Linked DNA regions of Caenorhabditis elegans. The protein of the gene in region 1 purifies or fractionates together with the protein of each later gene. This does not show direct contact. Each region holds a gene or a part of one and is shown in the gene's direction. Other genes may lie near its edges.

What was found.
Region 2: the proteins of rpn-5 (region 1) and F35G12.12 fractionate together in Caenorhabditis elegans (co-fractionation; one large-scale study listed by BioGRID). This does not show direct contact.
Region 3: the proteins of rpn-5 (region 1) and pro-3 fractionate together in Caenorhabditis elegans (co-fractionation; one large-scale study listed by BioGRID). This does not show direct contact.

What each region holds. Positions count from the first base shown.
Region 1 is NC_003280.10:4,696,347-4,700,100, reverse strand, and holds rpn-5 (PCI domain-containing protein), read left to right. Parts: upstream 1-1,806; 5' UTR 1,807-1,808; coding exon 1,809-1,898; intron 1,899-1,955; coding exon 1,956-2,141; intron 2,142-2,192; coding exon 2,193-2,900; intron 2,901-2,947; coding exon 2,948-3,124; intron 3,125-3,191; coding exon 3,192-3,503; 3' UTR 3,504-3,680; downstream 3,681-3,754. Other genes in the region: scc-1 (Sister chromatid cohesion protein 1), read right to left, coding at 1-884, 933-1,082, 1,129-1,380.
Region 2 is NC_003281.10:4,580,104-4,583,857, forward strand, and holds the start of F35G12.12 (26S proteasome non-ATPase regulatory subunit 5), read left to right. Parts: upstream 1-1,691; coding exon 1,692-1,727; intron 1,728-1,774; coding exon 1,775-1,875; intron 1,876-1,921; coding exon 1,922-2,030; intron 2,031-2,112; coding exon 2,113-2,394; intron 2,395-2,442; coding exon 2,443-2,634; intron 2,635-2,679; coding exon 2,680-2,737; intron 2,738-2,787; coding exon 2,788-2,988; intron 2,989-3,039; coding exon 3,040-3,150; intron 3,151-3,197; coding exon 3,198-3,372; intron 3,373-3,426; coding exon 3,427-3,637; 3' UTR 3,638-3,754. Other genes in the region: wdr-48 (WD repeat-containing protein 48 homolog), read left to right, coding at 1-17, 62-234, 280-386, 437-535, 589-682, 737-884, 936-1,127, 1,177-1,462.
Region 3 is NC_003283.11:19,116,454-19,120,207, reverse strand, and holds the start of pro-3 (Protein SDA1 homolog), read left to right. Parts: upstream 1-1,795; 5' UTR 1,796-1,803; coding exon 1,804-1,992; intron 1,993-2,374; coding exon 2,375-2,581; intron 2,582-3,754. Other genes in the region: bed-1 (BED-type domain-containing protein), read left to right, coding at 469-585; Y39B6A.13 (RsbRD_N domain-containing protein), read left to right, coding at 848-884, 928-1,067, 1,117-1,329, 1,379-1,540, 1,591-1,665. UniProt on the Caenorhabditis elegans protein: Required for 60S pre-ribosomal subunits export to the cytoplasm. Required for normal somatic gonad development and for regulation of germline development and proliferation.

The sequences.
Region 1 (3,754 bases):
TCAGCTTGAGCTTCCATTGACGGAGTGAAACTCGAACTATCGCTCAACTCTTGCATGGTGTAATTGAGATCGAACTCTCGGGTGACCAAACATCTCCTGTATCTTTGAAGGAGTTCTCTGTTGAACATTTTGCATCCAGGTTCACGGCTGAGGTGTTGAAGATCTCCGCTGACGCATAAATTGAACATCTTTCTGGTAGGAGGCGCCATTTCAACTACTCGCATCGTATCGGAGAAGTCTTCTTGTTGCTCTCGGAAAGCGTCGTTTGAAATCATAGTTTCAGCATCGACAATCAGCTTTCTCGCTTTTCTCTGACGTTTTTTCCGTCCTTCCATGTGCTCCACATCTAGAGGCTCCAGGGCAAATGACTCGGGACTTTGTGGTCTCGATGGCTCAACGTTTTCAGGCTCGAACGGTTGATAGTCAAAGTCCATACCATCGTCGTTTTGAACATCTGCGACAGCATGCTCTCTGACGGGATGAATCATTGAGCTGAACATATCAGCAGGCCCAACACCACCATCGTTTTCCAGTGTTTGATTCTCAACCTTCAGGTTCATTTCAGGCATGAAATTTCCGCCTTCCTGATTGTCAAAAATAAGATTTGGACGTGTTGGTCCTTCGGAGAAAATCACACTATCCGCATCTATACGGGAAATTTCCGTTCCATTTGCAGCCACATCACGATCTCGTTCGACTTCCATCAACGATTCTGGCTGAGGAGTGGGGCGCAAAGACAAAGGTTCCACCGATCCGTAGAGATGATCGAGTTGCCAAGATTCTCCTTCGTCACCGAACCCATCGAAATCTGCGTCAATGTTGAACTCGACATTGAAATTGACGGTTTCTTTCATGGTGATGTCTTCACGACGGCTCACATTAGCCTGAAACAGCGATTAAATTGAATGTGAATTGCTTTTAATACAACGCACCATAATGAGCTGCTCATTGTAGTCGGCATCGTGGAACTCGGGCACTGTGATATTGTACTTATCAATGAAGTTTGAGAAATCCTCTTCAATTTCTGCATTCTCTGGAATGTCGACTTCAAAACTGAATCCGTTGCGGAAGTTAATCTTCATCTGAAAATTTACTTTGTTTTTGTCGTTCTAAATTATCTTTAATTACCTTTTGATACGCTTCATTTGTATCAGCCAGAAGATATCGTGTCTTCTTCGAGTAGATTCTCACGATTCCAAGGAGAAGATGTCCAACTGTTCGGAGCGCCATTTTAACCTTGGGGCGAATGACTTCCTCGATCGCTTGGGGAACATCTGTTTCGAAGATTTGCGCCTTTGTCAGCTTTTTTTCCCAGTGAGCTGCCAGCCACACTTTTGCCAACGGTCCCTTTTTGGCGAGAACGAACTGTGCATAGAACATCTGAAAATAGCATGAGATAAACAATAGATTGTTAACGTCAAAGAGATCATAGATTAGAAAATTCCTGAGAAAACATGATAAAAGAGCAAAAACTGGAAGAATAAGTATGTTCAAATGATCACAATGAGAGAAGCAATAGTTTTAAAATGAGGCAAACATTGAAAATGCGGTAAATTTCTGATGATGAAGACAAAACGCTCGAAAAATCGTTTTCAAATATTTTTGTCTTCCTCCTCCTGGGTCTTACCGCGATTTGAGGTACGGTAACACTCGTTTCAGCTGTGCGGATTGTCACTCAAGAAATAATTATTTTCTACTCTCTACCTTTAAAATTTTTGTGCATTTAAAAGTAATATTTTTATAGGTTTTGAAGTTATTTTTCAATTAAAAAAGCAGAACTATATATTCTAATTATTGTTATTCCAGATATGGCCGACAGACGCGAACCGATCCCGGTTGACCCGGTCGATGTCGGAGAACTAAGCGAACTTGACAATTTGGCTCATTTGGCCGCTCATGTAAGTTTTAAAACGTTTTCGAGAATTTATCTGTAGATTTCATTAAATGATTTTCAGGGTGGAGATGGTCGTTTGTTCAAAATGGAGCAGGACTACTCGAAACAAGTCGACGAAGCACTTCTGAAAGCCCGAGATATCGCTCAAAAGGACGCTGTTGCTGCTGTAGAGAGTCTGAACAACATCGAAAAGCTCACTCGTCTTGGAGCTGACATGAAGAGCAATACACGCGTTGTTCAATATATGGTGATAATACTTTTCAAATTAAAAAAAAAATATTAATTCTGATATTTGCAGACGAAGCTTTGTTTCGAAGGGCAGAAATGGGATCTTCTTATGGAAACAATCATGACGCTTTCAAAGAAAAGACTTCTCATCAAAATGGCTATCGCAAAGATGGTCCGTGATGCTGTCGCAATGATTGACAAAATGCCAACCGAGGACCTCAAGATGAAGCTTATTGAAACTCTTCGCACTGTTACAGCTGGAAAGATCTATGTGGAAGTGGAACGTGCTCGCCTCACCTCGATGGTTGTGAAGAAGTTGGAGAGAGAGGGAAAGCTTGACGAAGCTGCAACCATGCTTCTTGAACTTCAAGTGGAAACATATGGCTCCATGGAAATGCGAGAGAAGGTGCAATACCTTCTCGAGCAAATGAGATATTCTCTCGTTCGTAATGATTTTGTGCGAGCCACTATTATCTCTAAGAAAATCAATATCAAGTTCTTCAACAAGTCAGACGAAGATGAAGTACAGAACCTGAAGCTGAAATACTACGATTCGATGATCCGTATCGGACTTCACGATGGAAACTATCTGGACGTGTGCCGTCATCATCGTGAAATTTATGAGACGAAAAAGATTAAAGCTGATTCAGCCAAGGCGACCTCACATCTTCGTTCTGCCATTGTCTACTGTCTTTTGGCTCCGCACACAAACGAGCAATGGGATCTCCTCAACCGAATTGCCATTCAAAGAGAATTGGAAACCGTTCCAGACTACAAGGTAAGCTGTGCGATTTGAATTTAATCTAATTATTGTTTTCTTTTCAGATCATTCTGGATCTTTTCATCAACCAAGAACTCATTTCTTTCAAAGGAACCATTGTCGCAAAGTACGAGAAGCTTTTAAGACGTGGAACAACTAGCTCACCAGACACCGGAATTTTCGACAAATCAACTGAAGGAGAGAAGCGGTGGTCTGATTTGCACCTTCGTGTTGGAGAGCACGTAAGTTAAAATTTTAATAAGTTAAAAACCTGTTAAAATTTATAAATTTTTATTTGTATTTTTACAGAACATGCGTATGATTGCCAAGTACTATACTCAAATCACTTTCGAACGTCTCGCTGAGCTCCTCGACTTCCCAGTTGATGAAATGGAATCATTTGTGTGTAACCTCATTGTTACCGGTCAGATCACCGGAGCAAAACTTCATCGCCCTTCCCGTATTGTCAATCTTCGTTTGAAAAAGGCAAATGTTGAGCAATTGGATGTATGGGCGAGCAACGTGCACAAACTGACGGATACATTGAACAAAGTTTCCCATCTCATTCTGAAAGAGCAAATGGTTCACAAGAACTTGGATCTCGCGGCCCCACGGGCATAAATTTAACCACTTTTTTGTGTATAATTCCGCCATCATGTGTATTTTTCTTATTGATGTTCGCCCTCCCCAATTTCTTCTTTTTCGTGCACCTTCTCCGGTTTTATCATTAATTTATTAATACTGTCGATCGATTTCATCCTTTCACTCTTCGGTTTGATAGTAAACGTATACGTGCTCAATGTGTATTACTAGCTTTTGAAGAAACAATTTTATGGAACAAGTTGTAAGATAGAGGTAACGGGAAACAAATG
Region 2 (3,754 bases), on another chromosome or scaffold:
AAGTCTGATATCAAGCGGTAAAAGAATTATTTTATTAAAAAAATAAACTTTCAGTTTTCAGCTGGTCCATCCGCCCATCAGCCCAACTTTCGATTGGAGGAGACGAAGATGGTCCTTCAACTTCAAATGCAAATCACTCAGTATCAGCTTCATCATCACCTCCAGTAACATTCAAGTATATCCGAGTGAAGGATCAAAAAGGACAACAGAGCACACCAGAGCTCGTTATTCCTGGTAAACAGACTATATGCAGATATAATTTTTAATCTGTTTATTCAGGCGCTCCTGCCATCAAGAAACATGCCATGTTGAGCGACAAACGACACGTTTTGACACGAGACTCGGATGGAAATGTGGCGCTATATGATGTTTTAGCAGCAAGAAAGGTTTGTCCCCATTATTAAAAGTTACTACTTGAATTTTGATAAAATTTCAGATAAAAGATTATGGAAAGCGAATATTTGAAGAAGTTGTCGATGAGAACTCTAGGCAAGTATACATTCCAAGCTGGTTTGTCGTTGATTCAAAAAGTGGAGTGAGTTTTAAGTTTTATAAATTTTTGAAAAATAAAACCCTATTCGATTTCAGATGCTCCAAATCACTTTGGACGAGCTGGACGCTCTCTCCTCGTGGCTTTCATCAAAAGACGCAGGTTTTGATGATAATGATCGAGAGACAAAACGTAAGATATTATACGAAAATAAAAACTTTCTCATTCCTTTGTAAGAAATTATAGTGAATTACGGTGGAATGATGCTACGATCACTCTTCGAACGATGGCCACCTTGTAAAATGACAAATGTTGATGCAGCTGATGCAGATGATGTGCAAAAAGCAACACTGAATTTTATTTCTCTACCGGAACACACACCGCTTATTATTTGGTAAAATTATTTGAAGGCTCAAATTTTAAACATTAAAAAAACTAATTTCAGCGAAGGAAATGGTCGTCCGCTCTACCGTCTTCTTGTTGGCGACGCTGGGAAGGAGTTCGAAGCAAATGAGCTGGCACAAATTGCACCCATGTGGGTTATAGACGCAATCGAACGAAATCAGCTGCCGAAATTCAATAAAATGCCATTTTATCTTCTTCCACATCCGTCGACAAATCCCAAACAGCCTAAAAAGTTTGTGAAAACGCGGGGTTCATTCATTAAAATTTTGAACTATTTTCAGAGATCGTCTGTCAGCAACTGAAATGCTTCAAGTTAAGAAAGTGATGGAGCATGTTTACGAAAAAATACTCAGCACTAATGATGGTAAGGTATTTAGAAATAAGAAGATATTAATGGTGTTTGAAGATATTACAGTTGGCTCGATTCCACTAAATCAAATTCATACAAAAATGGAAATGTACTGCAATGATCAGAGGTTGGAGCCGGATATGGATTTGCGAACAGTCAAGCATCTCTATTGGAAGCAAAGTGGAGAGCTTCTTCTACATTATAAACCAGTTAAATAGCTTTAACATTTAATTTAAGTTATTTATTTGAACATACTTATCTAACATTTGTACTTTATTGAAAATTCACTGTCTAACTTCTTTTTTGATACGGGTAAAACCGACTTTCAATTAAATTCCATGCTCTTTCCATATGTCTTTCTTTCTTTTTTAAAATTATGATGGTTTAACTACCAGCTTATCTTCATTTCTTGCTTAATATTTTTACCTCCTACCGTATTCGTTCCAGATGGCTAGTTTGGAAGAACATGAAAAACTGATCGAAGTAGGTTTTATTGAAATTTCTTCCAATTTTAAGCCAATTTTTTTCAGGAGTGGAGAAACGATTACATCGCAGAACGCAGTTCGAAAAAGGGATGGGAGATTCTGGAAAAACTTGCAAAGATGCAAATTGAAGCGGCTCAGCAAATGGAGTACGTTAAATGAATATCAGATAGTATCAAAATGAAATTATTTCAGAACAGAAGATGACGTGGCCGCTGCTGATTTTGATGACTTCAGCACCAGCAAGCTTGTAAAATTGATTATTGGAGATATTTCAACCAAAGATCTTCTTGTCGATCATCAGGTACCTGACATCAATTTTTAGACTATTCTAATCTAATAAAAAAAAATTCTAATAAAAATTGTAATATCTCAATCTTTTACAGATAATTCTTCTCGAATTCATTCCATCTGCACATCCGAATATTCTTCGCCATGTAGTCCGCACAGTCCGTGAGAAGGAAGGAGCGATTTCCCTTTTGAAGTCATCATCGGTTGCAATTGGAGTTGCATTTGCTCGAAGAGTTACAGATGCTGAAGCTGGAGAGGAAGTTGGACGTCTGATGGCACACCTCGTGGATCACGACTTGATTAATGAAGAGCTCAAATCGCAGCTGAGTGTTGCCAATGGAAGAGAAAGTTCATCCATTAGAAGTCGTATTTACTCCGTAATTATTTGAATTCTTAATTTGATAATTCATTGAAAAATTGTTCAGATTGCTACTGAACGAGCTCGCATTTCATCTAACACTTCATGCATTCATTGGCTCTACGACAAGATTCTTAAAAGTGTTCTAGATACTCAAGATGTTCTTGCTCAACTGGATGCTTTGGACACTTTCGTTGATATTGCACTTAGTGGAAAACAGAATGCAGAGGCTTTGTACGAATTGGGAATCGTCAAAAAGGTTTGAATTTGCAATAAATTTGTTTTTTTAATGTTATTCCTTTAGATTTATGAGTTGATGGAATGGTCGAAGGAGTCTCCAGATGGTGGGGAAATGTATTTATGTAAGTTACCAGTTCATTCAATTAATATTTAACAATATTTTTATCAACAGACGGAACACGTTTCATGTGTTATATGGCTCGTTCCTACCCACAAGTTCTTAAATATTTCCCTGATCTTGCACGGCGTCTCATGCTCGAAATCAGAATGTTCGATCAATTGAGTGTGGTCAGTCGTCTTGGAGCTTTCGATCATTTTGCCAGTATGTGCTTCTCTGTCGAGGCAAAAGAAACTTTGGAGGATATGTTCAAAGGTATTTTCCAAATTTTTCAAAAGCAAGATATTAAAAATCATATTGTTTCAGATTCAAAAGATCTTGAGAATACTTTGGGAGCTGCTGGTGCTGCATGTACGATGGGAACAATGGAATTGAAGTGTCGAACTCTTCAGGCCGTCACTCTCCTTTTCCAGAATAGTGAGCTTATTTAGTTATGTGGAATGTTTGAAAATTAATAATTTCAGCGACTGAAAAAATTGCTGAAACATGGTACGAGCGTCTCGGTGGAAAAGCATTGACACATGTAGCAGTTGGAAATGTTAAGAAGCCGTTCCCTGAGATGAAGAATTGTATTTATGATTTCTGGCAACAGTTGTTCACATATCCATCAGTTGTTCATCAGTTCATCACTTTCCAGGGGTATGTTAACGACATTTTTATGCGAGATTTTTTATTAAAATTGTTTTTTCTCAGATTCATTGACTGGGCATTGGACGATAAATCAGAAGATAATCCAGAATACGAAATTCGCAAACGTCAAATTATTCATCGAATCATTGAATTGTCGGAGAATACAAAGAGCGCCGAAGTACTCAAAGCTGATCCAGAACTGATTGGCCGTCTCAAGAAATATCTGCAACCGGCTGTTGCACCTGCTCCGCGTGTTGAGGAAATGGCTCTTTAGATTGATCTGTATATCCTGAATCTCTTTGACTATTCAATTTTTTGTTTCTTTTTCATCTCAATTATTCCAATACAGTATTTTATTGCCTCAAAAATGACTTGTTCGCCGTTAATTCAT
Region 3 (3,754 bases), on another chromosome or scaffold:
GGGCGCTGCTAAGACTACAAACTACAAGTTTGGGCGCTGCTAATTCAATTTTGGGCGCTGCTAAGACTACAAACTACAAGATTTTGGGCGCTGCTAATTCAATTTTGGGCGCTGCTTAGACCACAAACTACAAGATTTGGGCGCTGCTAATTCAATTTTGGGCGCTGCCAAGACTACAAACTACAAGATTTTGGGCGCTGCTAATTCAATTTTGGGCGCTGCTAAAACTACAAACTACAAGATTTTGGGCACTGCTAAGACTACAAACTACAAGTTTGGGCGCTGCTAATTCAATTTTGGGCGCTGCTAAGACTACAAACTACAAGATTTTGGGCGCTGCTAATTCAATTTTGGGCGCTGCCAAGACTACAAATTACAAGATTTTGGGCGCTGCTAATTCAATTTTGGGCGCTGCCAAGACTACAAACTACAAGTTTTTGGGCGCTGCTAACCCCATTTTTCTTGCAGGAAGACGCCATGACAACATATTATCGAATGAAATCTAGAAAACTGGAGCTGGAAATCAAAAAATTGGAACGAGAACTCGGCGAGGAGCAAGATGAGGCCCAAGAGCACGAAGAATAACCAATTTTTAATCTATTTTCCACAAAAGTTTATCCCGATTTCTCTTTTATTGATTTTCTGTACAATTTTCTCATCCGAAATAAATCAATTTTTTTTAATATTTCATTGAATTCAGCGGAAAATCAATAAAAAATAGAGTTTCCCGATTAATCTGATTTAAATTCCCACGCAACGACGCTCCGAAATCCCGCCAACGCGCCTTGTTTACCGTAAATCGACACTTCATTTTTCGACGAATTTCTCTGATTTCTCACCTATTTTCATGGATATTGCCCCCATTTTTCGTGAAATTTTCGATCGTAAGTGCTTAAAATGATTGAAAAATTTAATTTTTGATTTTAGAATTCAGTTCTGACAATATATATCGCTCATGGCACAAAATATCCCAGGAAATTCGAAGCGGCGATGAAAAAGAGCGCGTTTTCCGGTTGATTGTGAAGATTTCGATGCAAAAACTTGATACATATGAAGCTGGCAAGGAGGTGAGTGTGAAATTCATCAAAATTTGAAGAAAAACGTCAAAATTTTCAGGTAAATCGTGAAAATCCGCAAATTTCGGCGCAATTTCCCGATTTTCTCTTCAAATTTCTCCACGCTTTCCAATTTCTGCCGTCAGATCAGCAAACCTTTGCGAATTCCATGTTCTTGCTGAAAATAATCGATTTATTCGGTTCGGAATGCCCGAAAATTATAAATTTCTCTGAAATTTCATATATTTCGAGGCTTCTCGAGCTTGCCACTAACGTAAGTGGTGATTTTTTGCCGAAATCTTTAATTTTTGAGCTAATTTCAGGTATTATTAAAGGATTTATTCGAAAACTCGGTGAATTTATACCCAAAAGACGGGAAATTCAGGAAAATCGGCGCCCGGGACCTGCTCGACGGAGTTGTGATGTCAGAAGAGCCGGAAGATGGGAAATATAAAGAAAAATCGTTTTTAAAGATGAAAACGAAGGTTTTAATCGATTTTCTGAAGGAAAAATGAGTAAAAATTCGAATTTTCAGCTAATGGAGCTCGAGCCACGTGGAAATTCGGATTTTGAGCGGAAATATTTGGATTTTGAATCTAAAAATGTGTAAATAGTACTAAAATTTTAATAAAACGGGTTTATTTATTGATTTTATCGTCTTTTTACTGGTTTTCAGCCAGAAATCTTACTTTTTCCACTGTTTTCCTAATTTTTCAACCTTAAACTCCACACATTTTCAGCCAAAAAAATGGGTAAAGTGTCAAAATCACCCGGAAAGGGCGAAAAAAGGATCGGAAAAGTCGGCAAAAAAAATGGAAAAAGCAATGCTCCGACGGAGGGCTCCAATTCTGGAAAAGCTTCACGCTTCACAATGTCCGAAAGGAATTTGGGATTGATGCAAGAAATTATTCGAAAAGATCCGGAATCCTATAAAGAGGTGCGAAATTCGAGAAAAAACGAGAAAATTCGCGAATTTTGGGTTAAAATTGAGTAAAAAACGACGAAAAATTCGATTTTGGGCGCTGCTAAGACTACAAACTACAAGATTTTGGGCGCTGCTAAGACTACAAACTACAAGATTTTGGGCGCTGCTAATTCAATTTTGGGCGCTGCTAAGACTACAAACTACAAGATTTTGGGCGCTGCTAAGACTACAAACTACAAGTTTTTGGGCGCTGCTAACACCAAATTTTGCCAATTTTCTGCTAAAACATCACTTTTTTCAAATAAAAATTAAAAATACATACATTTTTCGACTACAAACTACACTTTTTCATGAAATTTATCGATTTTAGCTCTAATTTATTAATTTTTTGCAGGAATTCCTCGAACAATTCAACTATTTCGTTCAAACAATGAAACTTCTCCACTTGCAACCCGAACAATCTCGTCAAGAAATGCAATCTCTCGTCGATTCGGTGCTTTTTCTGTCCGGATTGGCGAAACATTACCCGAAAGAGTCGAAACAATTCTCCGATAGTCTTTTTGAGCTTTTGAGAGAGCAAGGAGCTGGTTTGGATCCAGAAGTATGTGGAAAACCGAGGAAAAATGCGAAAAATTGATAGAAAGACAGGAATTTTCATCGAAAATGCGCCCTAAATCGATTTTTTCTTCATAGAGTGCTCAATATTTTGGGAAAAATTCGGAATTTCTGCCGAATACTTAGATTTTGGCTCAAAAATTCAGAAAATACTGCGTTTTTTCACTAAAAATTGCGAAATTGTTTCAAATTTCCGAAAAAAGGAAGCAAACATTCAAAAAACCAGAGAAAATTAAAAATTTCTTTATAAATTTCTTTTATTCTGAAAATTTCCAGAAAAATCAATAAATTTTTAGTAGAAATCAATGAAATTTCTGAAAAATCGATAAATTTTCAGAAAAGTCGATACATTTTTAGAAAAATGAATGAAATTCGAGAAAAATCGATAAAATTCCAAAAGAATCGATAAAATTCAAGAAAAATCGATAATTTTACTGAAAAAACGATAAATTTAAATCTATAAAAATCAGGAAAAATCATAAAAATTCGAAAAAATCAATAAATTTTCAGAAAAATCAATAATGTTTCAGAAAATTCGATACATTTCCAGAAAAATCAATAAAATTTTAGAAAAATCAATAAATTCCCAAAAAAATCGATAAATTTTCAGAAAAATCAATAATTTACATTTTTGGAATTTTCCGAAATTTTTTGGCCAAAAATTGAACAATTTCAATGTTTTTCTAATTAAAGATCCAATTTAAAGCGAATTTCCGCATTTACTGTTGGAAAATTTCGATTTTTTCACCGAAAAAGTGCCAAAATACCAGAAAATCCAGTTAAAAATTCAATTTTTTCACCTTAAAGGTGGTGTAGTCGAATTATTTTTATCGCCTTATTAGACTCAAAATTGTCTAAAAACACCGAATTAATGAAACTTCTTGAAAACTTTTTAGAAAAAAGTTATGATGACTCAAAAAATGGTCTAAAATTCGTTAAAATCGGAAATTTGACTTGTCAAGCGGCTGAAAACTATTTTTTTTGAAATTACCGTCAAATTTTGAGTATACAAGTTGATTATCTTGTGTTTTCAACTTGATTAAGGTATTTAAAAGCAGATGGACAGCGAGATTTTCAATTGTTTTAAACAAAAACTCGCCGTCCATCGACTTTTAAATACCTTAATCAAGTTCAAAACGCAAGATAATCAACTTGTGAA